Oryctolagus cuniculus: one gene and its partners. The protein of the gene in region 4 purifies or fractionates together with the protein of the main gene of each other region. This does not show direct contact. Links are inferred from orthologs where the notes say so. Each region holds a gene or a part of one and is shown on either strand. Other genes may lie near its edges. The genes, in order: SF3A1, TFIP11, FUS, DHX15, SF3A2, SF3B3 and CHERP.

The links.
Region 1: the proteins of DHX15 (region 4) and SF3A1 purify together in Homo sapiens (co-immunoprecipitation; 5 studies listed by BioGRID and IntAct, with this or other methods). This does not show direct contact. The link is inferred for Oryctolagus cuniculus from reciprocal best matches to the Homo sapiens genes DHX15 and SF3A1.
Region 2: the proteins of DHX15 (region 4) and TFIP11 purify together in Homo sapiens (co-immunoprecipitation; 4 studies listed by BioGRID and IntAct, with this or other methods). This does not show direct contact. The link is inferred for Oryctolagus cuniculus from reciprocal best matches to the Homo sapiens genes DHX15 and TFIP11.
Region 3: the proteins of DHX15 (region 4) and FUS purify together in Homo sapiens (affinity purification with mass spectrometry; 4 studies listed by BioGRID and IntAct, with this or other methods). This does not show direct contact. The link is inferred for Oryctolagus cuniculus from reciprocal best matches to the Homo sapiens genes DHX15 and FUS.
Region 5: the proteins of DHX15 (region 4) and SF3A2 purify together in Homo sapiens (affinity purification with mass spectrometry; 4 studies listed by BioGRID and IntAct, with this or other methods). This does not show direct contact. The link is inferred for Oryctolagus cuniculus from reciprocal best matches to the Homo sapiens genes DHX15 and SF3A2.
Region 6: the proteins of DHX15 (region 4) and SF3B3 purify together in Homo sapiens (co-immunoprecipitation; 4 studies listed by BioGRID and IntAct, with this or other methods). This does not show direct contact. The link is inferred for Oryctolagus cuniculus from reciprocal best matches to the Homo sapiens genes DHX15 and SF3B3.
Region 7: the proteins of DHX15 (region 4) and CHERP purify together in Homo sapiens (co-immunoprecipitation; 3 studies listed by BioGRID and IntAct, with this or other methods). This does not show direct contact. The link is inferred for Oryctolagus cuniculus from reciprocal best matches to the Homo sapiens genes DHX15 and CHERP.

What each region holds. Positions count from the first base shown.
Region 1 is NC_091452.1:23,652,993-23,656,634, forward strand, and holds part of SF3A1 (splicing factor 3A subunit 1), read right to left. Parts: intron 2,463-3,642; coding exon 2,255-2,462; intron 1,182-2,254; coding exon 924-1,181; intron 1-923. UniProt on the Homo sapiens protein: Component of the 17S U2 SnRNP complex of the spliceosome, a large ribonucleoprotein complex that removes introns from transcribed pre-mRNAs.
Region 2 is NC_091452.1:20,273,458-20,277,099, forward strand, and holds part of TFIP11 (tuftelin-interacting protein 11), read right to left. Parts: intron 2,361-3,642; coding exon 2,233-2,360; intron 1,011-2,232; coding exon 858-1,010; intron 1-857. UniProt on the Homo sapiens protein: Involved in pre-mRNA splicing, specifically in spliceosome disassembly during late-stage splicing events. Intron turnover seems to proceed through reactions in two lariat-intron associated complexes termed Intron Large (IL) and Intron Small (IS).
Region 3 is NC_091450.1:6,013,735-6,017,911, forward strand, and holds the start of FUS (RNA-binding protein FUS), read right to left. Parts: upstream 2,847-4,177; 5' UTR 2,745-2,846; coding exon 2,732-2,744; intron 1,393-2,731; coding exon 1,368-1,392; intron 1,265-1,367; coding exon 1,110-1,264; intron 407-1,109; coding exon 262-406; intron 68-261; coding exon 1-67. UniProt on the Homo sapiens protein: DNA/RNA-binding protein that plays a role in various cellular processes such as transcription regulation, RNA splicing, RNA transport, DNA repair and damage response. Binds to ssRNA containing the consensus sequence 5'-AGGUAA-3'.
Region 4 is NC_091433.1:19,757,260-19,760,901, reverse strand, and holds part of DHX15 (ATP-dependent RNA helicase DHX15), read left to right. Parts: intron 1-1,802; coding exon 1,803-2,021; intron 2,022-3,642.
Region 5 is NC_091447.1:59,110,367-59,114,504, reverse strand, and holds the start of SF3A2 (splicing factor 3A subunit 2), read right to left. Parts: upstream 2,928-4,138; 5' UTR 2,772-2,927; intron 2,148-2,771; exon of another isoform or gene 2,041-2,147; intron 1,750-2,040; 5' UTR 1,716-1,749; coding exon 1,590-1,715; intron 1,483-1,589; coding exon 1,411-1,482; intron 1,021-1,410; coding exon 974-1,020; intron 789-973; coding exon 679-788; intron 413-678; coding exon 363-412; intron 253-362; coding exon 112-252; intron 1-111. Other genes in the region: PLEKHJ1 (pleckstrin homology domain-containing family J member 1), read left to right, coding at 3,258-3,351, 3,430-3,497, 3,587-3,653, 3,727-3,817, 3,948-4,011, 4,100-4,138. UniProt on the Homo sapiens protein: Component of the 17S U2 SnRNP complex of the spliceosome, a large ribonucleoprotein complex that removes introns from transcribed pre-mRNAs.
Region 6 is NC_091449.1:56,650,749-56,654,390, reverse strand, and holds part of SF3B3 (splicing factor 3B subunit 3), read left to right. Parts: intron 1-693; coding exon 694-868; intron 869-1,931; coding exon 1,932-2,137; intron 2,138-2,221; coding exon 2,222-2,378; intron 2,379-3,642. UniProt on the Homo sapiens protein: Component of the 17S U2 SnRNP complex of the spliceosome, a large ribonucleoprotein complex that removes introns from transcribed pre-mRNAs.
Region 7 is NC_091447.1:64,914,148-64,917,789, forward strand, and holds part of CHERP (calcium homeostasis endoplasmic reticulum protein), read right to left. Parts: intron 3,098-3,642; coding exon 2,960-3,097; intron 2,878-2,959; coding exon 2,726-2,877; intron 1,702-2,725; coding exon 1,557-1,701; intron 1,475-1,556; coding exon 1,385-1,474; intron 1,080-1,384; coding exon 749-1,079; intron 120-748; coding exon 1-119. UniProt on the Homo sapiens protein: Involved in calcium homeostasis, growth and proliferation.

The DNA of each region.
Region 1 (3,642 bases), on a different chromosome or scaffold from region 4:
ACATTTTTACAGTTCTTTCTAGTTATATGCTTGGCATGACTGAAGCTGGAGAAAATCCAAGTCCTTTCACGTTAGACTTTTAATACATTGTTGGTAGATACCAAGAACAGATGTGCAGATCACCCCCTGAAATGAGAAGGAAAACAACCTCCACTAAGTGTAGCAAGTGGAGCCAGCGTGGTAGCACAGAGGATAAGGCCACTTCCTGCAATGCAACATTCCATACGGGTACCTGTTCAAGTCCCTGCTGCTCTACTTCCAACCCAGCTATCTGCTACCAGCTTGGAAAAGCAGTGGAAAATGGCTCATGCCACTCACAGGAGAGACCTGGAAGAAGCTCCTAGATTCTGCCTGGCCCACGGCCAGCCACTGTAGCCATCTGGGGAGTCTATCAGTGGATGGAGGATCTCGCTCTCTCTTTCAAATATACAAATCTCTTTAAAAATGTAACAAGAAAACCAATCGTTACTGATTTCCTTTGCAATGAATTAAAGATCTGATGATTTTAATTATCAGTATTGTTAGGATACAACTTTTTAAAAAATAATTTATTTAATTCAGAAGCAGAGACAGAAAGGAAGCTCCTATCCCATTGGTTCTTTCCAAATGCCCACGATGGCCAGAGCTAGGCCAGGAGCTCAACCCAGGTCTCCACACGGGTGGCCGGGGCCCGAGTACTTGAGCCACTACTGCTGCCTCTCAGGGTCTGCGTTAGCAAGAGGAGACACGAGCTGGAGCTGGCGTTGAACTCAGGCACACTTCTATGTAGAAAAAGTAGTTTGATTTGCATTTAAAGGAAAAGCTGAATCAATCTACAGATGTCACGTTTCTTCAGCTGGTCTGCTCAGCTGCCCCACAGAGAAGCCATGCCCCGGTGGACTGAGTGCTCCCATAGGTGAGACGCCCCCCTTCCCGCACAGCACCTTGGTGTACTGTTCCACCAGCTTTGTGAAGTAGTTGAAGAGGCTGTGCTGCGGCCGCAGGAAGTCAAACTGGTAGTTGCGCTGCTCCTTCTGCATGAGCTGGGTCAGGAACTGGCGCCCGTTCCTGGCCACAAACTGGGCCGTGAGCTTCACCACATCCAGGTCAAAGGCTGAGATGGAAGGGGGGTCGGCGATGAACTCAAACTCAGGAGGCGGTTCTTTGGGCACGATGGTCTCTTGGATCACCTGAGCCTGGACCTAAGACCCAGAAGGAGTGTAAGGCGCAGGGTGCACTGGCTCCAGGGAGCGGGGAGGAGCACGCCTGAGCAGGAGAGCTGTGGGCCCTGTGTGTCCGTTCTCACGCACACAGCACTGGTGTTTGGCATGAGAGTGCTCTCACTCAAAAGAACATCAATTTCTCAGCCAACTGTGGCCTCAACTTCCTGAACAGCTTTAACTAGCTGTCTGTAACTCTGCTCCTGCCCTGAAACCGAGGGCTAAAACGGGTGGTGGAAGAGTTGACAGGAACGTGGCTTATTAGAGCAGGGGGATGGAAATGCATTAAGGACCACGTACACGCAGGGAATCCCAGTGGGCAAGTGCTTCTCTAGCTCTACATGAACCACAAGGCGATACACCAGGTACCGTGAATCCTCCTTACAAATGAGGACGCGGAGGCAGCCTGAGGCCCTCGGAGCAGGAAGTTGCAACACAAGGTTTTAGAACCCGACTTCAGCCTTTACATCCCACTACAAAACAAGGGGCTGTCTTCTCCACCACGGTTCGGAGTACAGCAAGGTGAAGGGACCAGTCCGGTTCCACACAGGAGGCAAAGCATGCTGGCCCTTCCCGTCTTCATTCACAACTTAACAGTCCCTCCTGAGCCCAGCGCAGGGAGGCTGGCAGCACGGCGGTCAGAGGGGAGGGCCCTGGGAAAGACTGAAGGGAAGGGATGGCACAAGGAGGGCCCCACAGGCCCCACTGCTCCCTTCAGCAAAGCCAGGTAGGAGGTCCTTCCCATACCACAGCACTCACGGTCAAAGCCTTGGGTAGCTACACCCCCCAAACCCTCAACTGTCAAAGAATCGCTCTGCCGACCTCACGCAACCCCTGGGAAGTCACTGACACGGCTCCTAGGGCACTGATCGTGGATCCTGGGGAGCAGGGCTCAGGGAATGCCAACTGTCACTGGGACCTCTCGGAGAGACTCTACGGGTCTACCTGTGTAAGGTGGCTAACAGCTTGGACCGCACAGTTAATCATGCACCCATCCCCGTGCTCACCTCCCTCTTGGCCCCGGGGAAGTGTAGGGTGGGGGCTGAGCTCCAAACCTTCTGGGGCAGCTGCTGCTGGGTGGCCTGCTGCTGCTGCTGCATAACCTTGGGGATGGCGGCTGAGGGCTCCTGGGCCTTCCCCTCCTTGAACTCGCTGACCTTGTGGCGGTAGTAGGCATGGTAAGGGTCATTGGGGTTCAGGAAGTTGAACTTGGGGTTGTTGATCTCATTCTGTCGTATCCTGGCTTCAAACTCAGGCCCGTTTCTGGAAGGAGGGAAAAAGAACCCTTGTGACTGCTCAGACACAAAACACTGGCCCCTCAAGCCTCCAGGCACCAGCGGCCAATGCCATCTGCCTCAGGGCCTCCTGGCCGACGACTCCACCACAGTGCACCCCGGCCCTCCATCGTGTTCTGCTCCTCAGCCAATTCAGCCACTTCCAAAACCTCCACCGCTACTGCTTTTGTCTTCTTTACCTTTCAAATATTCATTTTGTTTATTTGAAAGGCAGTCACACAGAGGCAGAGAGAGAGGAAGATCAGAGAGAGAGAGAGAGAGAGAGAGAGATCTTCTATCCGCAAGGTCACTCCCCAAGTGACCCCGATGGGTAGGGCTGGGCCAGATCTAAGATAGAAGCCAGGAGCCTCTTCCAGGTCTCCCATGTGAGTGCAGGGGCCCAATCCCTGCTTTCCTAGGTGAATTAGCAGGGAGCTGGATCAAAGTGGAATACCTGGGACTTGAACTGGCGTCCATATGAGATGCTATGACACAATACCCACCCCTGCTTTTGTCTTTTAAAAAAAGACAGGGTTGGAGCTGTGGTGTAGTAGGTAAAGCTGCCACCTGCAGTGCTAGCATCCATATGGGCACCAGTTAGTCCCAGCTGCTCCACTTCCGATCCAGCACTGTGCTATGCCCTGGGAAAGTGGTGGAAGATGATCCAAGTCCTTGGGTCCCTGAACCTGCATGGGAGATCCGGAAGAAGCTCCTGGCTTTGGACTGTTGCAGCTCTGGCCAGTACGGCCATTTGGGGAGTGAACCAATGGACGGAAGACCTCTCTCTCTCTGCCTCTGCCTCTCAAATAAATAAATAAATCTTTAAATAAACAAAGTCAGAAGAAAATTCTGTTTAAAAAAAGGAAGATACATATTACTTCTTGAAGTAACCCTTTATAACAAAAGGTAAGCAAAAGTGAATACAATGAGAACAAAACAATACTGTCAATGTTCAGCCGCAAGTTTCCTGAGACTAATTCTCTTAGTTAACAGGGGAGATACAGCAAGTGTTAGAGAAGCTTGAAGAAATACTAGCCCCAGATGGAGACTCTGCCCTCTGGGTGGGTGATGAGAAGGACTGAGACACACGAGAATTAGATGACCTGATCATGCCTGGTCGGAGCGCTAAGACTTGCTGCTGTGTCTCCACTGTCTATCTCCCTGGGATG
Region 2 (3,642 bases), on a different chromosome or scaffold from region 4:
GGCGGTTCAACTGCTACCTGGGACACCCTCATCTCCTAGAGTGTCTGAGTTCAAGTCCAGGTTCTGATTCTAATTCTAGCTTCCAGCTAATGCACACCCTGGGGAAGCACTGGGTGTGACGGGGGCGTGACCTGGGTCACCACCTCTGTGTGTTGGGGGTGTGACCTGGGTCACCACCGCTTTATGTGATGGGGGCATGACGTGGGTGACCACCACTGTGTGTTGGGGGCATGACCTGGGTCACCACCACTGTGTGTTGGGGGCGTGACCTGGGTCACCACCGCTGTATGTGATGGGGGCATGACGTGGGTGACCACCACTGTGTGTGATGGGGCCGTGACCAAGGTCACCACCACTGTGTGTGAGGGGGCCGTGACCAAGGTCACCACCACTGTGTGTGATGGGGCCGTGACCAAGGTCACCACCACTGTGACGGGGGCGTGACCTGGGTCACCTCTACTATGTGTGACGGGGGCGTGACCTGGGTCACCCCACTGTGTGTGATGGGAGTGTGACCAAGGTCACCACCACTGTGTGTGATGGGAGTGTGACCAAGGTCACCACCACTGTGTATGACGAGGATGTGACCTGGGTCACCACTGCTGTGATGGGGATGTGACCAAGGTCATCACCCCTTGCCGTGAGGAACAACTGACGGAGTGTAACTGGATGATCATACTAAACCTAGAGTAACGAGAGCAGCGTGGCACTGTCATGGGCCACAGTAGGAGCGCTGCCCTCTCCACGCACGAGGCCCTGAAGCCCCCAGGAAGCTCAGGGATAGGCAGTGAGGGGCGGCCTCTGGGCTGTGGGACTGCTTTCTGTGGTTCCTGAACCCGATGTCCGGAGCCCCGTACCTTGACCTGCGAAATCTCCTTCTGGGGAGCACTGAGTTTCTTGCTGACCCTGCCCTTGGCCTTCAGCTCTTCCACCGTCTTATAGGAGTATTTGGGCTTCTTCTTGCTTCCGCTGGGGTCTTTCCTCCACTGGCTCAGCTCCTTCTGAAACTCCTAAACCCCAGGGAAACCACTGGTCACACAGGAAACAGCACTTCCCACAGCCTGTGGGACGAAGACCACTGACACCACAGGGCAGCCTCTCACGTTCACCCCAACTCCACACCAAGGCTGTGACGCTGCAGCCACCCAGCCTCTTACAGACAATGAGGCTCGGAAGGCGGGGCAGCAGCCCCGTGCTGCTGGGAGATCCAGAGATAAGGCCACCCCGCTGGGCATCACTGTGGGCAGGCTCTGCTGGTGTGAAACTGAGCGCGTGCGAAACTCAGAAATGCAACAGGAAGGACTTCAGGAGTACCCCAAGCCTCGGTTCTGATTAAAATGATAAACAAGTCTCAAGGTGAGGATCCACTTGACACTCGGGTGTATAAAACCCCTCTGCAGGGAGATCTGAAGAGAAGTGAGGAAGCAAGCCGGCCTGAGGATGGCACGGCGCAGCCCTCAGAAGTTGACGGTGTGGCTGTCCCTCCACTTTTCTCACACTGGTTTACACACATAATTTATTTTCTCAGACACTATCTGGACGTCTGCTGGCTTTGGGGGAATCAGATCAGGCAATCCCAAGCTCGTGTTGTCATGGCAACAAGTGCCTAGCGCCGAACACGAACAGCGGCTTTCCACAAGTTACGTCCTCAGCTGTGTGCCCGAGTCCCCACCACCCCCTACAGCCTGGCACCTGGCTCGTGGCGTGCACGCCCGTCAGCTCTGAAGCCTGAGAGCCCGACTCAGACCTGTCACTTCCACACTGTCCAGCGTGTCCTTGCTCACGAGGAGGCTGGTGACGACACGAGCGAGGCGCTCCCCTGCGGCGCCTGCCTTCCCGCTCTCTGTGGAGAGCCGCCCCACCCCTTCTGTCAGCAGCACAGCTGCCAGCAGGTGGCTCCTCCTGCACTCTGGGTGAAACCCAAACGCCTCCAACCCCCGCCCCACCCCTCCCTGAGCCACATCTCAGTGGGACTCCTTCCTTCCTGAGATCAGAGATCACTTCCGTCCCAGCCTGTGCCTTACACTTGGGCCACGCCCCTTCCCTGCCCCTCCTGTCACCTCCTCGTCTCCAGCACAGCCTGCATCCCTAAGCACGTGGAGCTGCTGGCTTACTGTGTGTCTCCATCCAACGGGCTCGAAGCCCAGCCCGGACAGCACGAGGCCTGACAGAACGCAGGAGCAGTCGGCCGCCCGCCACGGCACAGGACACCGAGGCCTGCCTTCCACTCACCTCCTCGGCTTCTTCTTCCGAGTCCACCACGGGGAAGTCCTGCAGGGACTGCGTGGTCCGCTCCGAGCCGTAGGCCCCCACGGCTCCCTTGCCCTTCCTCTGTTTGGCTTCGATGGGGTTTATGATGCCTGTCGATTGTCAGAAGACAGAGAGCTCAGACGGCAGCAATTCATGTGAATAAACCACTCGGGGATGTCAAGCAGCCTTGCCCTCAACAGGCAGCACGGTCCCCAGCAAGGAGAGCCCTGCCCTGCCCAGGCCCAGGCCATTGGAAACGTCCAGCACTTATGTGATCACACAACAGCCTGCTGACCTCACGTAACTCATGTCCCAACCAGAGGCTTGCACCGTGGATGGGAGAAAGCACAAATCACTTATCACAGAGAGCGCCGGCACACTCGATTCCCCGCTTCACTCCTCTGGAAGCTTCCATCAGGCAAAGTGCAGGGATTCAGACAACATGTACCCACGGACTCTGAAGTACAGGTGCACTTCATGGAGATGTGGCGTTTATTTATGTGAAAGACAGAGAATGACACATCTTCCATCCACTGGCTTCCTCCCCAGTTGGCTGCGACGGCTAAGACAGGGCCAGGCCAAGGCCAGGAGCCTGAAACTCCACCTGGGTCTCGCACGTGGATGGCAGCAGGGGCCCAGGGACTTGGGTCACCTTTTGCAGCTTTCCCAGGCACATTGGCAGAGAGCTGGGCTGGAAGTGGAGCAGCCAGGACACGTGGGATGCCAGTGTTGCAAGCAGAGGCTTACCCCTGCCCCACAACGGCAGCCCAAGATGCGGCACAAGACGCCGCCCCTGCTGCACTTCTTAGCTGATGTCCCCACACTGAGCTTTTCAGAAACACACTGAAGCCCCAGAAATACTCGTGCAGGTTGTTTCTCTCATAAAAGGATTTAGACAGGATTACAACTTTTCAAAAACTGCTCCCCTCCCTGCTTCCCACCTAGCGCTGGGGAAGTCTCACTCTTCCTCCCGGTCACCAGCCCTGCCTCACTCATGCTCGTGTTCTCAACACAACACAGATTTACGCCAACTACTAAAAAGAGACTGGAATTGGAACCACAGGCTTCACTCTTAATTACACCCTCGGTCACTGCCCGGGGAAAAGTTCTTGCAGGAAGAATCCAACTGCTTACTAGGGTGGTTGTGCAACCCAGGAAATGCGAACGTGCGACAGGGGCTGCGTCACAGTGGGGTGGGCTGTGCACCTGTGCTACAGACTATGTCGCAGTGGGGTGGGCTGCGCACCTGTGCTACAGGCCGCGTTGCAGTGGGGTGGGCTGCAAACCTGTGCTACAGGCTGTGTTGCAGTGGGGCGTCTCAGGGCTGACTCAGCAAACCACTTCAGGCAGAATCCAAGGTTCTAGGCGGATTTTTCAATGCTGGCAACCCAT
Region 3 (4,177 bases), on a different chromosome or scaffold from region 4:
AGACTGCTGGCCATAGCCCCCACTCTGGGGCTGCCCATAGCTGCTGCTCTGAGAACTGCCGCCGTAACTACGGGAAACACACAGGCAAATCAGAACCCCGGCATGCCCACAACTTCCTTTCACTTTCAGCACATCCCCTCCTCCCTACCAACACAGGCCTCCCTTCCCCCACCACACACTGCGCCTCCTAATGGCTCCTAGTGCTCTGCCTTCTTTCCTTAGCAATTCACCCCTCATCTTGCGGGCACACAAACACCTTACCTGCCGGAGGTGTTGCTGGGAGCTGGCTGCTGTCCATAGCCAGGGTACGAAGACTGCTGCCCATAGGATGATTGAGAACTCTGGCTGCTGCCATAGCCGCCAGTTGAGCCATACCCCTGGGGAGCTGACTGAGCGCCATAGCCTGCTACGAAGAAAAACAAAGCAAGGGAGTCACGAGAGCTATGAAGAAACAAAGGCATGGGAAGGGTTGAAAAAAAAAAAAAAAAAACATACTCTACCTATGTTCATCCATACCTCTTAGCAACTGCTAGTAAATCCTGCAACTCCCAGCCAGGGAAAGGACATTCTTCTGAACTCTAAGGTTAATGTTCTAACTCCTACTGACTTTTTAAAGACAGTTCCAATTTTATTCCACCTATCCTAAAGCCAGTCTCCAAGACTGGAATCTTATTCAAAATATCCCTCTGTGTCAACCACGTTTTAATATGCTGGTATGAGTACACCATACACAAGAAAACCCACATGAATTATTTTCACTTCAGAACTCGGGGGCAAATTCCTTCTCCTGGCGTATCCCGTGATGCCCAGTAATGGGACTTCAGACAAGAAGACCATTTTCTCCACTAAGAATCAGCCTAAGACTGGCACTCTCTTTAGGGAGTATGCCCTCATGCTTAGCAGGGAAACAGAGAAAAGGTACAGCATAAACAAAAAGTCAAAGGAAAAAAGGAAACGATTAAAAGCAAGGAAGGAAGCATTTTCACTGGAAAAGACTGCAGACTCCAAGAAGTTTTAGGGTTAAAGGGGAAAAAACATGAGAGATTCACCACTTCAGCACTGCTTAGGGTTTCAAGGCAGAGTGACCCCCCCGCCCAAGACAGACTCACTGTTCTGGGTCTGTCCGTAAGAAGAACCGTAGCTGCTCTGGCCATAGCCTGAAGTGTCTGCTGACTGCCCGTAGCTGCTGTAACTCTGCTGTCCGTAGGGCTGATTGCTCTGCTGGGAGTAGCCCTGCCCAGGCTGGGTGGGGTAGGCCCCGTAGCTGCAGGGGAAAAAGAAAAAAGAAGAAAAAGGGTGCAGTCAAGAAAATGACCTCAACCACCCTTGCCCGCTAGGAATTCTAGAAGCCCAGACACGGCACTCACCTTTGGGTTGCTTGCTGGGTATAGTCTGATGAAGAGAAAAGACAATCAACGTTAGGGTCAAGAAAGGGGTTGCCAGGTCTATTCCTTAACCCAAGAACTGGGGCATCGGAGCCAGGAAACCCACCAGCCTACTGCTGCCCTGCTGGCCACCAACGCCCCACCAGACTCTTTCTCAATGCAAACTCCACTCGCTTGAGGAACTGCTAGAAAACCTGTCCCATCCCTGTCCCGGTCACACCCACTCCATGACAAAGGCCACGGAGTTCCTAAGTGGGCACCAAAAAACAATAGCCATTCTCCGCCCCTTGGCCAATCTTGGGAGAAAAAGCAGAGGGGAGTCTTAAAGCAAAGCCAAGCAACCAAAAAGCAGAGGTCCTGTGACGCCAAACGACAAGGCCCCTCATCAATTCGATCAGTGCTCAAGTCCCCAGGCCTGGGGCTCCAACAGGCTCTCATCGACTCCTGCCGACTTCTCAGACAGGAGGAGCCGCCGCAACCCAAAAGGTACCGAAAAGCGCTTTTAGGACGTCACATTCGAGACGCAGCAGCGAGATCAACTCCTGCCCTCAGTCCAGGAACCCAGGCGCTTCCCGCCGCAGGAAACGGCAAAGGGATCGGGGAAGGGTGTGGCCTCGGACGCCCGTTCCCAATTCGGGGAAAAAGAAAATTTAGGCGGGAAAACCCTCGGACTCGGCCCCCGAGACCGTTGGCGGATCTCCCCGACGCCCCCCTCAACCGTTAGGCCGGGCGCGCGGCCCCGATCCCGAGCATCCGCCCCCGGCCGCGTGGCAACCGAGGCGGGAACGCGGCGGTCCCGCCCCTTCCCGTGGGACCCTGAGGGGCGAGGCCCACGCCGGAGGCGGGCCGCCGAGTCCGCTACCGAGGGTCTCGCGACAAAAAGCCGGCCTGACACGAGGCTGGGAAGGGAGGATCGGCGCCGCGAGCACGGGGGAGGGGCCCGCAAGGCGCGTGCGCGCACCGAGTGCCCGGATGCAGCACTGCGACAAAGCGGGCCCGAGCGCGGCGTGGAGGGGGTGGGGGGGCCCGGGAACCTGGGCATTTCCGCCCGCTACCACAGACTCGAACTCGCTGAAAAGCGTCCTCCCCCCACCTCATCCAAGGGAACGGAGGGAAGACTTCCCGCCCCGCACGAAACGCGCCAGAGGAGCAAAACAAAATGGCGACAACAGCCTCCCGCCCCCCCTTCCGCCCCTCTCCGCGGGCTTCCCGCCACAGGGGTTCGAAAATATCCTACACGCGATCGCCGCCCTGGCCCCACTGAAAAAAATCAAAAGCCCAGCTAGGAGAGAGCAAGCCAGGCCCTCCGGAGCGGCGCGCCACCGCTGCCTCGCGCCCTTACATACCGTTTGAGGCCATCTCCGCGCACGCGCGCACAGGCCGCCAAGCAACAAGATTCCGACACCTCGGAACACCGACGCCTAGAGGACTGAGCAGCCCCGCCTCCTGCGTCGAGGCTTATGTACGCCTCCCCGCCCACGTACCGCGGGGGGACGTACCAACCGCCGAAAACGAAGGGGGGAAGCAGGGCCGGACTCCTACCACCTTCCGGGGAGGGTCGAGGGTCCCAGCAGAAAGAAGGAAAAAAACTAACTAATACATATAAGAGAATATATATCATCATGTTTTCTCTGATCAATAGCTCACCTTCGCTCTGCAGGCCTAGCCTACGATTCTTCTCTACCCCTATAAGAGAGACATGGTACGGTCTGATTACGTTAGAGGCGGGGCCGAGGCCCCGGGCGTCTGCGGAAGGAACCGTAGTCAAGGCCGGGAGTCGAGGTGTGGGAACCGAGATTCCTCTGGTTGGCCCCTCTCGCCCGGGCCTCACTTTGACTCGGGATGGCGAGCCCCTCCTCCGCTGCCTTTCTGCCGCATAGGGCGCCACCCTCCTGTCTGCGAGCTGTAGCGTTGCTCCCTCAGCCATCGCAGCGACCCTCTCCTTCCCTGCGTCTCGGCTTTCGCTTCAGCGTCTTGAGGGTGCCTCTGCGTTAGTCCTCAGTGGGGTTTATAGATTGTGACATCTGACCGGAAAGCAAGCATGGAGTTGAGCCTGGATCTCTGGGCCCTCATGCAGCGCGGAGCGATCGGCAGAACCCTCGTGGCTCTGCCCCTGGAGGACCGTGGGGCGGGAAAGCCCGGGCCCCCCTCCGACCCCAGCTAGCCTTGCCGTTATCAGATTACGGGTCCCCCCTCCCCGCCCCTTTCCCGACGACGACCTACACTCTTCATTCTGAGCCCTTCCGCGGAACCCGCGTGGAGATACTGGGGATAATGCATTGGCATACGACTTCAGTAGTTTCATGCGCAGTTTTACATCCTTCTCATCAAAAACCGGTGAAGAAAGTAAAAAAGGCATCTCCATTGTAGAGACGAGAAAAGCGAAGCTCCTGGGAGAGCCTGCGCAATCCGTGTTTGTACAGGCAGCTGAGCGAGGGGCAGTGATTCGAATCCAGGTCCAGGTCACTACACCACTAGGTCTTTGTTGGTTACCTGAACTATTTATAGAATTTTGAAAGCCTGTTCCGTTTCCTGTGAGAATGAAGGCGGGGGGGGGGGGGGGGCAAAATTCAAATTAACTTGCACCTTGCACTCTGATCAGCTTTGCCTAGGGAGGGGGATTTGAATCTTTTCCAACAAATCAGACAAAGATTATTCCTGGTACATGTGCGACTGTAGATTTTCCTTCCCAACCAAACTTTGCTCTGGGTTCCAGACATTTCTTTGTAGATTGAGCATCTAGACAGATAAGATACAGGGGTTCTGCTCTAGGCAAGCCCACAGACTTCGTA
Region 4 (3,642 bases):
ATCTGTTGGTTAACTCTCCAAATAGCCACAACCCTGGGACTGGGCCAAGGCCGAAGCAGGATCCTGAAACTCCATCCAGGTCTCCTGCATGGGTTAACAGGACGCAAATACTGCGACCGTCTTCCACTGCTTCCCCAGGAGCATTTGCAGGGAGTGGGATCAGAAGTGGAACAGCTAGGAACATAACTAGCACTCAAGTGGGATGTCAGTGTTGCAGGCAGTAACTTAGAGCACATACCGGCCCCAGTAATATATTTTTATGGCATATCTTACTAGTTTCTGATCCTTTCTTTTGGCATATTAATTAATTTATTTATTTGAAAGAGAGTTTCAGAGAGAAAGAGAGTGCTTCCATCTGCTGCTTTGCACCACAGATGGCTGTAAGGGCTGGAATGGGCTGATCTGAAGCCAGGATCTTCCAGGTCTCCCACATGAGTACAGGGGCCCAAACACTTGGGCAATCTAATTCTGGATTCCCAGGCACATTAGCAGGGAGCTGGATCAGAAGTGGAGTATCTGGGGTTTGACCCAGTGCCCATATGAGATGCTGGAGCCATAGGCAGTGGCTTTACCCACCATGCCACCGTCCTGGCCCCTTTTAGCATATTTTTGTAACTGTTGCTCACCTTGTCTTTCATCCCTTCATTACGTACAAGAGGGCTCATTTCTTTAAGCAGTGTCTTTGTTGCTCAGATTCCTGTCATCTCAGCCCTCAAAATCACTGATAACGCTGGAACAACTACCAGGACAAGCACTCATCAGAAGGACATTTGTTTACACTTGTGTCTTCCTTTTTTTTTTCTCTCTCCTATACCGCTTAGATCTTGGCCAGGGTTGCCGTGTTAAGGGTTTAAAGCTGACTGAATATTTTCTGACATTATCTTATCAGTCCTTTGACATATAATTTCATAAGTGGTTTTTTTTGACAGAGTGGACAGAGAGATAGGTCTTCCTTTGCCGTTGGTTCACCCTCCAATGGCCGCCGCGGCCGGCACACTGCGCTGACCCGAAGGCAGGAGCCAGGTGCTTCTCCTGGTCTCCCATGGGGTGCAGGGCCATCCTCCACTGCACTCCTGGGCCACAGCAGAGAGGTGGCCTGGAAGAGGGGCAACCAGGACAGAATCTGGCGCCCCGACCGGGACTAGAACCCGGTGTGCCGGTGCCGCTAGGCTGAGGATTAGCCTGTTGAGCCGCGGCACCAGCTAGTTTTGTTTTTAAAATTTTATTTATTTATTTGAGAGGCAGAGTTACAGACAGTGAGAGGAGAAGCAGAAAGGTTTCCTTCCATTGGTTCACTCTCCAAATGGCCACAACGGCCATAGTTGAGCTGATCTGAAGCCAGGAGCCAGGTGCTTTTTTCCGGTCTCCTACGTGGGTACGGGGGGCCCAAGGACTTGGCCCATCTTCTGCTGCTTTCCCAGGCGAAAGCAGAGAGCTGGATTGGAAGAGGAGCATCTGGGGACTAGAACCGGCGCCCATATGGGATGCTGGTGCTGTAGGTGGAGATTAACCTACTGTGCCACCATGGTGCGGGTCCCCAAGTTTTGGTTTTGAAAGTGTTGGTTCATGTAAATTTACATGTTTAATGTTTTACTTAAAATTTTTAAATAATTTGTAATAAATAACATAACTTGCTGTAGTTCAGGCTTTTCTGCATTTGATATTTAAATCACAGTGTATTTGAAATTTTTAAGCTTTATAATAGATAACAATGAAAATATTTTTACCTTTACTATTCTGTTTTTTGAGACCATGTAAGAACCCTTGAAGACAATTTCAAGTAGTTTACTGTTTTCTTTCAGGTGATAGTTATGAGTGCTACTCTGGATGCAGGAAAATTCCAGATTTACTTCGATAACTGTCCACTCTTAACTATTCCTGGGCGTACACATCCTGTTGAGATCTTCTATACTCCAGAACCGGAGAGAGATTATCTTGAAGCAGCAATCCGAACAGTGATCCAGATTCATATGTGTGAAGAGGAGGAGGGAGATCTTCTGCTTTTCTTAACTGGTCAAGAGGTATTGTCATTGTTTCCTTCGTTAATAGCCTTTGACACATTTCTATCAAGCAGCGGCCTTGATTTAGATATTAACTATATTTTTCTTATCCCGTTGTTTGAAGTTTTTCTTCAACCTGATTGTACTAACATATTAAACATGACCCTTTTATTTATGTACTCTGGGAAATTTTTTTTTCTTTGGCGACTGATTGTGTTAATTATAGCAAGAGTGTTAAGTGCTTTTAGAATTTCAGGATTTAGCAGTTGTATCAATTTTGATGCAGCCTGGGTTGTGTTATTTTGCTGATGCATGAATTGGAATCCCAGCTCCTGTAAAATCATGCATTTCTTCAATTCAAAATTGGTTGTTTTGGTTATGAGTGAAGTTAGGTGTCCATCCACCCTCAAAATGTTTGTCTTCTTTTTGTTCGTTCTTTTGCATGTGCTGAGGATTGAAGGGATCAGTGAAGTTTCCTAGTTAGAACTTCATTTTTAGACAACAGATTTTCATGTGTAGTAGCTTTTCTTTTTTCAGAAGTTTTTCATTTGAGAGGTAGAGTGACAGAGATATCTTCCATCTGCTGGTTTACTCCCCAGATGGCATTAAGGACTGGGCTAGGCCAGGTGGAAGCCAGATTTCAGGAACTCCATCCTGGTCTTCCACAAGGATGGCAGGGTGCCAGGTACTTAAGCCATCTTCATTGTTTTCCCAGGCACATTGATGGAGAGCTGGATAGGAAACAGCAGCAGGGTTTTGAACTGGCAGTCTGATATGGGATGCTGATGGCTGCTTCACCCACTAGACTACAGTGTTTGCCCCACAAGTGTACTATTTCTATTTTTTTTTTTAACAGGCAGAGTGGACAGTGAGAGAGAGAGACAGAGAGAAAGGTCTTCCTTTGCCGTTGGTTCACCCCCCAATGGCCACTGCGGCCGGCGCACTGCGGCCAGCGCACCGCGCTGATCCGATGGCAGGAGCCAGGTGCTTTTCCTGGTCTCCCATGGGGTGCAGGGCCCAAGTACCTGGGCCATCCTCCACTGCACTCCCGGGCCACAGCAGAGAGCTGGCCTAGAAGAGGGGCAACCGGGACAGAATCCGGCGCCCCGACCGGGACTAGAACCCGGTGTGCCGGCGCCGCTAGGTGGAGGATTAGCCTAGTGAGCCGCGGTGCCTGCCTACTATTTCTATTTACAGCAGGGCATTTATAGGTATGCTATTAAATTCTTCAAAGGCTAAATGCAAGAAAAGCTATTTGGATAAAACAACATTTTAGGAAACCATTTCATAGAGATTGTTATGAGCTTTTTTTCTTTTGATCTCATGGGCCTTGTGAATTTTCCAGAATATAATTTTTTCTTTTAACTATTTCTTTGTTTGAAAGGCAGTGTTACAGAGAGGCAGTGGCAGAGATAGAGTGGGTAGCAAGAGCGAGCTTCTATCTGCTGGTTCACTCCCCAGATGGCCTCAAAGGCCGGAGCTGGGCTGTTCCAATGTTTGGAGCCAGGAGCTTCCTCCAGGTCTCCCATACGGGTGCAGTCCTTGGGCCATCTTCTGCTGCCTTCCTATGCCATAGCAGAGAGTTGGATTGGAAGTGTAGCAGCTGGGACTCCAACTGGCGCTTATATGGGATGTTGGCACT
Region 5 (4,138 bases), on a different chromosome or scaffold from region 4:
GGGGGGGCGGCCGTGGGTCCTGGGGTGGGGAGGGGGCGCGGGGCTGGTGCCGAGACCCAGGGCGGGGCGGGGAGGGGGCGCCGTGGGTCCGAGGGAGGCGGGGGGCCCTACCTTGAAGGCGATGGTCTCGTAGGGCTCGGCGGCCATCAGCAGGTACTGCCAGCGCCGGTCCGGGGGCTCGATCCTCTGCTCGTAGGCCGACATGAAGCGGTGCCGGGGGGTGATGCCCTCGGCGATCTCGGGGTAGTCGATCTGCGGGCGGGCAGTGTCAGGGGCCCCCAGCCCCCACTGCCCCCCGCCCCCGCAGCCCCCACCCGGCCCCGCCCCCGCGGCCCCCCCCCCGACCCCGCGGCCCCGCCCACCTGGAAGAGCAGGCTCTGCTGGCCCATCTCCGTGTCCCGCTGCTTGGTCACTGCAACACCAGGGCCGGTGAGGGGCCCCCCCGCAGCCCCACGTCCCGCCCAGGGCGGCAGGTGAGGCCCAGGTCCCAGCTCAGAGGGCCGGCCCAGGGCTGCACGCCACAGCCCCGCCTGCCCCTCCGTGCCCAGGACCCCGCCTGCCCACAGCCCCACGGCCTCGCCTGTCCCCGCCTGCCCCTCCCTGCCCAGGGCCTCGCCTGTCCCCGCCTGCCCCCCCCCCCCCGCCCAGGGCTGGTGTCGGGCGGCCCCGCCCCCTCACCTTTGTAGCCAGGGCGTCCGATCTTCACGAACTTCTTCACCTCCACCTTGACCTTCTCGGGCGCGGGCTGGGCGGGCGCCTCCTTGGCCTCCTTGGCTGCGCGCCGGGCCCTGGGGCGGGGCAGACGGGCGCTGTGGTCCTCCACACCAGGCCAAGGCCACGGGCGCAGGTGCAGGAGCCCCCCTGCCCGGCCTTGGGCTCCCGCGGGGGGGGTGAGGGGCGGGGCCCTGCGGCTGGGGGGCGGGTCAAGGGGCCCTCCCCCGTGTCACAGCCGGGGGGCGCGGGGGGCACTCACAAGTTGGTCTGATGCTTCTTCCCTTGAGTGTGTGCGAGGTAGCTGCCCTGCGTGGAGGAGGCGGGACATGAGGCCGGGGGCGGGGCCAGGCCGGTGGGCGGGGTAGCGGCAGGCGGGGTGGGGGAGGACCAGGCCGAACAGTGGACAGGGCGGGAGGGGGGGACCAAGCCGGCCGGGGGGTGGGGCAGCGGCAGGCGGGGGTCAGGCCGGGGGCGGGGGGATCAGGCCGGCTGGGGGCGGGGCCAGGCCGGTGGCAGGCAGGAGCGGGGGACCAGGCCGGCCAGTGGACAGGGCGGGAAGGGGGGGGATCAGGCCGGCCGGTGGAGGGGGGGGGCCAGGCCGGCCGGTGGGCGGGGCGGGGGCGAGGGGTTCAGGCCGGCCGGTGGGCGGGGCGGGGGCAGGCAGGGGCGGGGGCAGGGTACCAGGCCGGCCAGTACCTCGTTGTTGTGCAGGGTCAGGCACAGCTTGCACTCGTAGGAGCCCAGGTGGTTCTTCATGAAGTAGGGGTCCTGGGGGAGAGCGGCGCGGGGCGTCAGGGGCGTCAGGGGCGTCGGGGGCGTCGGGCGCGTCGGGGGCGTCGGGGGCGCCCCGCGGGGGGGCGGGCGGGCGGCCCTACCTTGTTGATGTCGATGGTCTCCAGGGCCAGCTGCCGCAGGCGCTCGCGGCGGTCCCGGTTGCTCTCGGAGGAGGAGGCCACGCCCCCACTCCCGGTCTTGCCGCCGGGGCGGTGCTGGAAGTCCATGGTGCCGGCCTGCGGACCTCAGCGCCGGAGAAGCCTGCGGAGCCCAGACCGGGGGGGGCCCTCAGGACGCGGCGGGGGCCGGAGACCCCAGGAGGCAGCCCCCAGCCCCTCCCGGGCGCACCCACGCGGGCTCTCCCGTGTCAGCCGCCGGGCCCAGCCGCGGGCGTCGGGGAGAACGGGGGCGCGGACGACCGCCTGGCGCCCCCCCGCCGTCCACTCCCCAATGCCCCTAAGCCAGGGCTGGGCCTCCCCGTGGACGGCAGGGGCCGCTCGGGCCCCATTCGGGCACTGGCCCGAGTCCTGGCTGCCGGCCCGGGCCCCGCACCTGCTCTGACCCGGCCCGGCCCGGCCCGGCCTCCGGGGACTGGACCGGCGGGAGGAGACCCCGCCCCTGCGACCCCGACTTCCGGGCACGGCGCGGGCGGCCCGGCTGACCCCAGGGCGCTACCGGGCCCGCCCGCGGTCCACGCACGAGCCGCCCCCGGCTGACCCCAGGGCGACCCGGGCCCGCCCGCGGTCCACGCACGAGCCCTGGCGGCCCCACAGCCCCTCCATCGGGACGCGAACCCAGGACCTCAGGGCTGGGGGAGGGGGAACCACGCGAAGGGACAGTCGGACAGCGGACCGAGGGGAAGACGCGGCCCCGGGCACGCAGGCTTGCGGGAGGGAAATCTAAGACGCAGCCGCATCGCCGTCCGCACCCGGGACGCCCCGCAGCCCCCCGGGCGCCCGCGACCGACCCCCACGACGACAAAGGCGCCAGCGGGGGCGGCCTCGGGGGTCCCGGCGGCTTTTGGCGGGAACGCCGGCACGCACCCCCGCGCGCGGCCCCGCGGCCCGGGCCCGCCCCGCCGAGCAGCCGAAGGCCCGCGGCCGCTCCCCGGACCCCGGAGCCCGCCCCGGACGGACGCGAGACCCCCGCGACCCCCGCGACGCCCGCCGCGGAGTTCCGGAGGGCCGGGGTCGCCGTGGGGCCCGCCGCCCGCCCCGGCCCCTCCCTCCCGCGCCCCCAGCCCACCCTGGGCGCCCCGGGGCCCCGATGGCCCCCGCGCCTACTTCGTGTGGGTCGCGCCCCGCGTCGCAGGCCTCCGCCGTCCGCCTCAGGAGCCGCCGCCACGACGTCGCAGTGCGCACGCGCGGCGCGGGCGCTCGCAGCACTTCCGGAGGGAGGACGGGCCCTCGAGTGTGCGCATGCGCGTGCCCGAGGCGCGCCTGCGCACAACGCGCTCCGCGCGCGCACCCGCGTCGGCTCTTGGGGGCGGGGGCGGGAACCGGTAACGCCCCGTCCGCCCGCGCTCGGCGGTCCTTCGATCCTGCTTGCGCCTCAGACCCACTTTATTCCGCGGCTGTGTCGCGGCTGCCCGGCGTGTACCCACGCCCCAGCACGCCGCGGTCGCAGCGCGCAAGACTCGCCCGTGGCGCGCAGGCGCAATGGCGCTTCCGGGGCTCCGACCTGGGATCTTTCTGGCGCGAGCGGGGACGGCGGCCGAGAGGGCTCAGAGCTAGCAGCGCGCGTTCCCGGTCCCGGGCAGCGCCGGCGCCATGCGCTACAACGAGAAGGAGCTGCAGGCGCTGTCCCGGCAGCCGGCCGAGATGGCGGCTGAGCTGGGCATGCGGGGCCCCAAGAAGGGCAGCGGTGAGCGGGCGCGGGCGCGGGCGGGGGCGCGGGGGCGCGGGGGCGCGCGGCCGCCCTGAGCCCGCTGTGTGCCCGCAGTGCTGAAGCGGCGCCTGGTGAAGCTGGTGGTGAACTTCCTCTTCTACTTCCGCACGGACGAGGCCGAGGTGGGCGCGGGGCGCGGGGCGCGGGGGCGGGGCGCGGCGCGGGGCGCGCGGGCGCGGGGCGGCCCCGCTCACGGCGCGTGTGCCCGCAGCCCGTCGGAGCCCTCTTGCTGGAGCGCTGCCGGGTCGCCCAGGAGGAGGCGCGGAGCTTCTCCATCGGTGAGTGCGCGGGCCGGGCGGGGCGGCGCGGGCGCGGGGCGGGCGCGGGCACCCACAGCGGCCGCTCCCGCAGGCTTCCTGGAGGACCCGGAGAGGAAGTACGTGTTCGAGTGCGGCAGCGAGGAGCAGTGCCGGCAGTGGACGGAGGCGCTGCGCAGGGCCAGGTGGGGCCGGGGCGGCGGGGGCGGCGGGGGCGGCGGGCGCGGCGGGCGCGGCGGGCGCGACGGGGGCGGCGGGCGCGGCGGGCGCGGCGGGGGCGGCGGCCTGACCCCGCGGGCACGGCCTCTCCCGCAGCTACGAGGTCATGCGGAGGAGCCTCATCTTCTACCGGAATGAGATCCAGAAGATGACGGGCAAGGTGCGGGGGGCGCGTGCGGGGCGGCCGGGCGGGCGGGGCTCCCGGCCCCGGGCCCCGGGTCACCGCGTCTCCCCGCCCGCCGCCCTAGGACCCCCTGGAGCAGTTCGGGATCTCCGCGGAGGCCCGC
Region 6 (3,642 bases), on a different chromosome or scaffold from region 4:
CTCTCAAATAAAATAAATAAATTTTTTTTTAAAAAAATGGATATGCCATATTTTAGGTATTCTTTATTTAGGTGGTGCTGTTTTGCTTTGAACAGTGCTGCAGTGAAAACTCTGATACATGTGTTATTCCACATGTGTGTGAATAAGTCTAGAAAAAAGTATTTGTTATTTGAGTAAGTTACATTTGGCTTCTGTTTTCTTTGTTGATGCATCTGGGAAATCTGAGATCTTGTCTTAACTCTTCGCTCATTTTGTTACTGGCTCCACATGTTTTTTCAGCTTCCAAAATTTTATTTGGCATTTCATATCTGCTGTCATCTTCTGTTTCATTCTCTTTGAAGATTTTTCCCTTTTAGTGAATATATATACGACAGTTAAAACTCCACCATTATAATCAGATAACTATTTGAGTTGTTTTTCCAGGTTTCTCAATGATAATTAAAATATTCTCACTGTCCCATTATTATTGGAGTGACAGAAAATTTCTTTGATAATCATTATATGTGTTTTATTGGGTTAAAAACCCAGAATCCCCGTGAGTAGTGGTGGGGTGTCGATCTCCTTGTTTTATTTGTAGACTGCTTTTAGATTAGAACGCTGCTGTTTGCTGACGTCTCAGGGGCTGCTGTGCTTGCTCGTTTCATTGCTAATGGCTCCCAGGTCCTGAGTTAACCCCCTTGGCCTTTGTCACAGGATTTTGGCGCTGGAGAAGCTTGGTGCTGTCTTCAATCAAGTAGCCTTTCCACTGCAGTACACCCCCAGGAAATTTGTCATCCATCCTGAGAGTAACAACCTTATCATCATTGAGACAGACCACAATGCCTACACTGAGGCCACAAAAGCTCAGAGGAAGCAGCAGATGGCGGAGGTAATAGGACTGACGTTCTGGGGTTTGGTTAAAAAGTGCATGTGTAAAATTGTGTTGAAGTTGAAACTCCTGTAATTGTTGATGATATTCCTTGTTATTTCTGTAAAATTTTTGAAGTTCTTTAAGCTCTTTGGTTTTAGAGGCTTTGCTGTGATCCAGGACTAATACGCTGACTTGGGTTTATTTGAAATTCCAGCTGCTCCTCTGGAAGAGTTCTTTAGTCAGTTTTAGTCAGTCCGTGGGTTTCAAACTGAGTTGTTACATTTTTCCTAGATATGAGCCCCTAGGAGACAGCTTTTAGATTCCCTACAACACCACTTGTAGAAATCATTTCCCAGGAAAAACCAAATAGCCACAAACATTTAGAACTGTATTCATTCTGAAACATGAGTAGTCCTAGCAAGGGAAGTCAGGTAGGTTAGGTTAAAAAAAAAATGGAGCTTTCATGTTTAATTTTTATTTTTTAAGATTGATTTAATTTTGGAAGGCAGAGCCAGGGAGGGAAAAGGAGAGAGAAAGAAGGGTCTTCCATCTGCTAGTTCATTCTACTAATGGCTCCAGCAGCCAGGTGTGGGCCAAGCTAAAGGCAAGAGCCGGGATCCCTGTCCTGTCTCCCATGTGGGTGGTAGGGGCCCAAATATTTGAGCCATCCTTCACTGCCTCCCAGGTACATTAGCTGGAAACTGGATCAGAGGCAGAGTAGCTGGGACTCAGATTAGCGCTTCAGGAAAGGATGGGGTAGAGCAAGCAGCAGCTTAACCCATGATCCACATTGCTGCCCCATGTTTGTTTCGTAGACTTCTAGTTTGATGTTTGCTACAGCTAATGTTTTTTTTTTTTTGTTTGTTTTTTTTTTTTTTTTTTTTTTGGGTATTTTCTTCTAATATGTAGCTGTATGTAACTGGTGGTAACTGCTTTTCTCTTCAGTATTCTTCCTTCTTAGCCTTGTTTGTGACAGTCTTGCAATGTTAAGCAGGAGCTGAGTCTGAAAAGTGTTCATTACTCCACTTCCCATGCAGTTCTCTCCTGGCCACACTGACGTTCCTTTGCTTTTTGGATTTAGGAGATGGTGGAAGCAGCAGGGGAGGATGAGCGGGAGCTGGCTGCGGAGATGGCAGCAGCATTCCTCAATGAAAACCTGCCGGAATCCATTTTTGGAGCTCCCAAAGCTGGCAATGGCCAGTGGGCATCTGTGATCCGAGTGATGAATCCTATTCAGGGGAACACCCTGGACCTTGTCCAGCTGGAACAGAATGAAGCAGCCTTTAGGTAAAGGGTTCAGGACAGTCCAAGGTTTGGTGAGTTCTCTGGCTTTGACTGAGGCCTGACTCCTGTTTTTTCCTCTGTGTGCAGTGTGGCTGTGTGCAGGTTCTCCAACACTGGTGAAGACTGGTATGTGCTGGTGGGTGTGGCCAAGGACCTGATTCTGAACCCAAGATCTGTGGCAGGAGGCTTTGTCTATACTTACAAACTTGTTAACAATGGAGAAAAATTGGAGTTTTTGCACAAGGTAAGGAACTAGCCTGTGATTGTCTTGGTTATTAGATTCTACTGAATTCTCCCACAGTTTTTTGGTGTTATGAGTCAGTTCGCCTTGTGGTCAGTATGTTGATTCTTTCCTTTTTAAAAAAAATTGTTTGAAAGGCAGAGCAACAGAAGGAGGACTAGAGAGAGAGATAAATCTTTTATCCACTAACTCATTACCTCAGGTGCCCGCAACAGCGAGAGTTGAGCCGTACCAGAACCAGAAAGCTGATCTAAGTCTTCCACATGAGTGGCAGGAAGCTGGATTGGAATTGGAGGTGGGACTCAATCCCAATCATTCTGATGTGAGATATAGGCAACCCAAGTGGTAGCTTAACCTGCTGTTCCACAGCTCTCACCCATTGTTGTTTCTAACCCATCTTTTGGCAGTACATGAGAACTGCTAGGGCTTTCCTGTTTCAGGGATGCTCCAGTGCCCATGAGTCCTACAGGAAGCCTGAGTGCTAACTGCGCACAGCGGAGATAAGGCACACACTGAGTTGACCCCTTGTTTACTGTCTATAAAGCAGTCAGCAATTTGTGGCCAAAATTCACCAGTTTTAAAAGATTAATAGAGGGGCCAGTACTGTGGCATAGCAGGTAAAACTGCCGCCCACAGTGCCTGCATCTCATATGGGCACCAGTTCAGTCTCAGCTGCTCCACTTCCCATCCAGCTCTGTGCTATGGCCTGGGAAAGCAGTAGAAGATGGCCCAGGTGCTTGGGCCCCTGTACCCGTGTGGGAGACCTGGCAAAAGCTCCTGGCTTCAGATTGGCACAGCTCTGGCCATTGTGGCCATTTAGGGAGTGAACCAGTGAATGGAAGACTCCGACTTTCTCTCTCTCGCTCTCTCTCTCTCTGTCTTTCTCCCTCTCTGTAAATCTGCCTTTCAAATAAAATAATAAATCTTAAAAGATTAATAGTTGTAAACAGTCAACATCATGGTGGTTGTGCTTCAGATTCCTGTATCTTATATCAGAGTGCCTGAGTTCAGGTCCTGGCTGTGCTTCTAATTCCACCTTCCTGCTAGTGCACATCCTGGAGGGCAGCAGATGATACCTCAAGCTCTTGGTCCCTGCCACTCATGTGGGAGACCTGGATTGAGTTTTGGGCTGCTGTCATTGGCCTGGCCTACCCTTGACTTAAAGTGATTTGTGGAGTGAATTAGTGATTGGAAGATATCCTTTTGTCCCCTTGACCCCTCCTTTTTTTTTTTTTTTTTTTTTTAAGATTGTATTTAATGCTGTGGT
Region 7 (3,642 bases), on a different chromosome or scaffold from region 4:
GGGTGGGATCTGGTCGTGGGGCCCAGGGCCCCGGGGGCCGGCGGCTGCAGGGTCCTGGACGCCGCCCGCGGAGTCGTAGTCCGAGGAGCCGGGCATCTGGATGGCTGGCTTGCTGTCGTCTGCATCCGGGCGAGAGGCAGTTAGAGCGCCGCCAGCAGGAGGCGCTGCAGGGCAGGGGGCCCTCAATGCCCACCCAGAGCCAGAGCCAACCGGGCCAGGGCCTCTGCTTCCGAGTGACTTCCAGGAAGGGGGAGAGCACGTGCGGCTCCTTGGAGCGGCTGCTATGGGCGCTGGTTAAATAAACACCTGGGCCTATCTGGCAGGGGGCCGTCTCCCTGTGGAATCTGTTCCCGGGCTTCCTGGCGGGGCACTGCCCTGGCGCTCCCGGGACGGCCGCGTATTACCCCGGGGCTGGGGTCCCGCGGATGCTGGGAGATTTTACTGGCCAAGCAGCCTTAACCCGAAATCCAACTCTTCTGAGGCTGCGCGATGCTCAGAGTTCCAGGTGTCGGGTTAGGGGCGTCCAGGCCGCACCCCCTGCCCCCCGATTCTCTGCGGTTTCACTCGGTGTTAATCAGGACCGCGCCCCCCGCGCCACGCTCGCTCAGCACCAGCGCCGCGTCCTCGTCCCAGACTCTCTTCTCCAGGACAGTGCACAAGGAAGGAGTTGCGGGCGTCCCCTGGCCCGGGACCACAGACCCTCCCAGGACAGCCCACCAAGGGAGCCGAGGGGGCGAGGGCCGCGCACCGGGCTGGGTGGCTGCTGGGGTGGCCGGGGCCCCGGGGCAGCCCGCCGAGGGGGCCGGGGGCCGCGCACCGGGCTGGGTGGTCGGCGGCAGGGCTGGAGCCGGGGCGGGGGCCGGAGGCGGAGCGGGCGGCGGCGGCGTGGCCTTCACGTCGGCCTCCATCTGCGGCATCTGAAGCTGCGGCTGCGGCTGCGGCTGTGGCGGCGGCTGCTGCTGCTGCTGGGCCAGGCTGTTGACGAACTCCTCGTGCTGCGTCTTCAGGGTCTGGATCTGCTGCTGGAAGGCCAGCTGCACCGGCTGCACCACCGCCGAGTACTCGGTGATGAGCGTGGCCTGCGAGAAGGGCGCCGCCGGTCAGGGACCGGGGCAGGCGGGCGGGGCTGCCGCTAGCTGGACACGCCCCCGGCCCTCCTCGACTCCCCACGTGGAGGACGGGGGTCAACGCGGAGAGCTCAGCCCCCAGCCCTCCAGGGAGGCACGGCCGTGGGCCCAGCTCCGAGTCCGTGAGCTGTCTCCACACGCCCAGCCTGGGACCACTGTGACCCCACTCCAGAAACCGAAACAAACAGGCAACACCGCGTCTGAGCTCCCCCAGGCCCGGGCAGCCGCCACAGGCAGCCCCTCGGAGCTCGCCGCACCTGGTACTGGCCAAGCCCTAGCGCCGGGCTCTGCAGCTGCTGGATGATGGAGTCATCGAAGTAGCCGTTCTTCTCCCAGAGCTGCAGGAGCTGCGGGGCAGGAGGGGGAGGCGGTGAGGGGCTGGCGCGCCCTCCCCGGCCGGGCCCCGCCCCGCCCCCGGCGCCCACGGACCCGCGCGATCTTCTGTTGCTTGTCCTCCTCCACGGCCAGGAAGCTGGTGCAGTAGATGGGCACGACGACCTTCTGCAGGGCGGCCAGCAGCTCCCGGGCCTGCTTGCGCTGGCTGTGAGGGAGAGACCTTCCGCGCGTCAGGGCCCTGGGACGGGACCCGGCCACGCGCCCGTTACCATCGCGGCTCCGGCCACAGCACCCTCTGCCTTTTCCGGGAACGGCCCCCAACCCTGCGGGGTGACGGCTGCGCTCCCGAGGCCGCGAGGGGAGGAGGGAGAGGCTGCAGCCCGGGCCGGCCGGAGCCAGGCCTCTCCCCCAGCTCCCCGTCCCTCCTGGGGTGGCCGCGGGGCCTCGACACAGCCCCGAGTGTCCACACAGGGTGCCCCGGGGCCGGGGGGGCAGGGCCACGTCCCTGTCACTTGCTGTGCACGAGGCAACACGCGGCCGAGCCTCTTGGAGGGAAGGCAGGGTAGCCACTGACCCTCAGGCCTCGAGGACCCTCTGGCCACGGGCCCAGTCCCGTGTCCTCAGGGCCACTGAGCAGCACTGGCCGGGGACGCGCTGTGCGCCGCAGTGCACGGGGGAGGGGGCAGCAGGGTGGTGGCTGAGCCAGGGAGGGACGCAGGGCAGGGGTGAGCGGCTCCACCCCCAGTGCTGAGCAAAGGGCCGGGGGCCGGGAAGGACGGGGAGGGGAAGCGGCCCTCGGCTTCCGACGAAGGGCGAGAGGCCTGGCCCGCAGAGGCGCCGGAGGGAGCTGGCGGTGGCTGCTCATTTCCCGCGGTGGAGCCAACACCGTGCTGCACAGCACGGGGGACCTGGGCTGGGATGCGTGGGTGACAGGCCCGGCCAGCTTCTGTCACACTCATGGGGGGCCCTGTGGCTAACTCGGCCCTCCCCGCCAGCCCAGCCACGCTCGGAAGCTCTCGCACGCATGTGTCTCTCACCAGCCGAGCCCTGCCCTGCCCAGGTGTCTGGTTACTCTCGTTAACCTTCGCCAGAGACACGCAAGTGGCCGGCAGCGCCGCGCAGGACGGCGGTCAGCCCAGGGGCCCCGAGGGGCGTGGCCGAGTAGCCAGGTGACTGAGTGGGCGTGGTCGGCCCAGGGGCCCGGCACTGAGGCTCCCCCCACACCCCCGGGGCCAGCCGCGCCGGGGGGCGGCGGCGCTCACCAGTGGTGCAGCACGTCGTTGATGAGGTAGATGAGGTGCAGCCGCAGCTCGAAGTGCGCGCCCTCGGCCGTGATGCGGCTGCGCAGGTGGCCCGCCATCAGCTCGCAGTGCGGCGGCGACTTGGCGTTGCTGAACATCCAGTTCTTGCCGGCCTGTGACAGCCGGGCTGCGGTGAGCGGGGCGCGGCAGGCCCGGGGCTGCGCCCGCCAGCCCGCACCCCGGCGCCGCCCTCACCGAGATGGCGTCCTTGGTGCACGTGTCGATGATGGGCTGCAGCAGGCTGTCGAACTCGTTCATGTCCAGCTGCGTCTCCTCCAGCAGCTTCTGCATCTGCTGCTCCACGGCGTGGGCCACGGCCGCCGTGACCTGCTCCTGCGGGGCGGGGCGGGCTGCGTGAGCGGCAGGGGGACCGCCCGCTGGGCCACCGTCACCCTCTGGGAGCAAGGCGCGGGCGGCAGTCCCAGCAAGGCCGGCAGACATCTGGGTCCTGACCTACAACCTCACTAGCGTTCGGGGGTCTTTGCCCTTCAAGGCAACGCCCTCTCATCTCAGGAGGACTTAAGAAAGTGGACGGGCTGGCTGTGGCTCCCGGGAGGGACAGGGCTGTGTGAGCAGGGCCCCCGGCCTGGCTCAGGACGGTAAAGCCGCCTGAAGCACCAGCATCCTATAGGGGCGCCAGTTCGAGTCCCAGCTGCTCCTCTTCCCATCCAGCTCTCTGCTGTGGCCTGGGGAAGCAGTGGAGGATGGCCCAAGTGCTTGGGCCCCTGCACCCACGTGGGTGACCCGGATGGAGCTCCTGGCTCCTGATCAGCCCGGCTCTGGCCATTGCGGCCATTTGGGGAGTGACCCAGCGGATGGAAGACCTCTCTCCCGCTCTCTCTCGTTGTCTGTAACTCTACTTCTCAAATAAAGTTGCT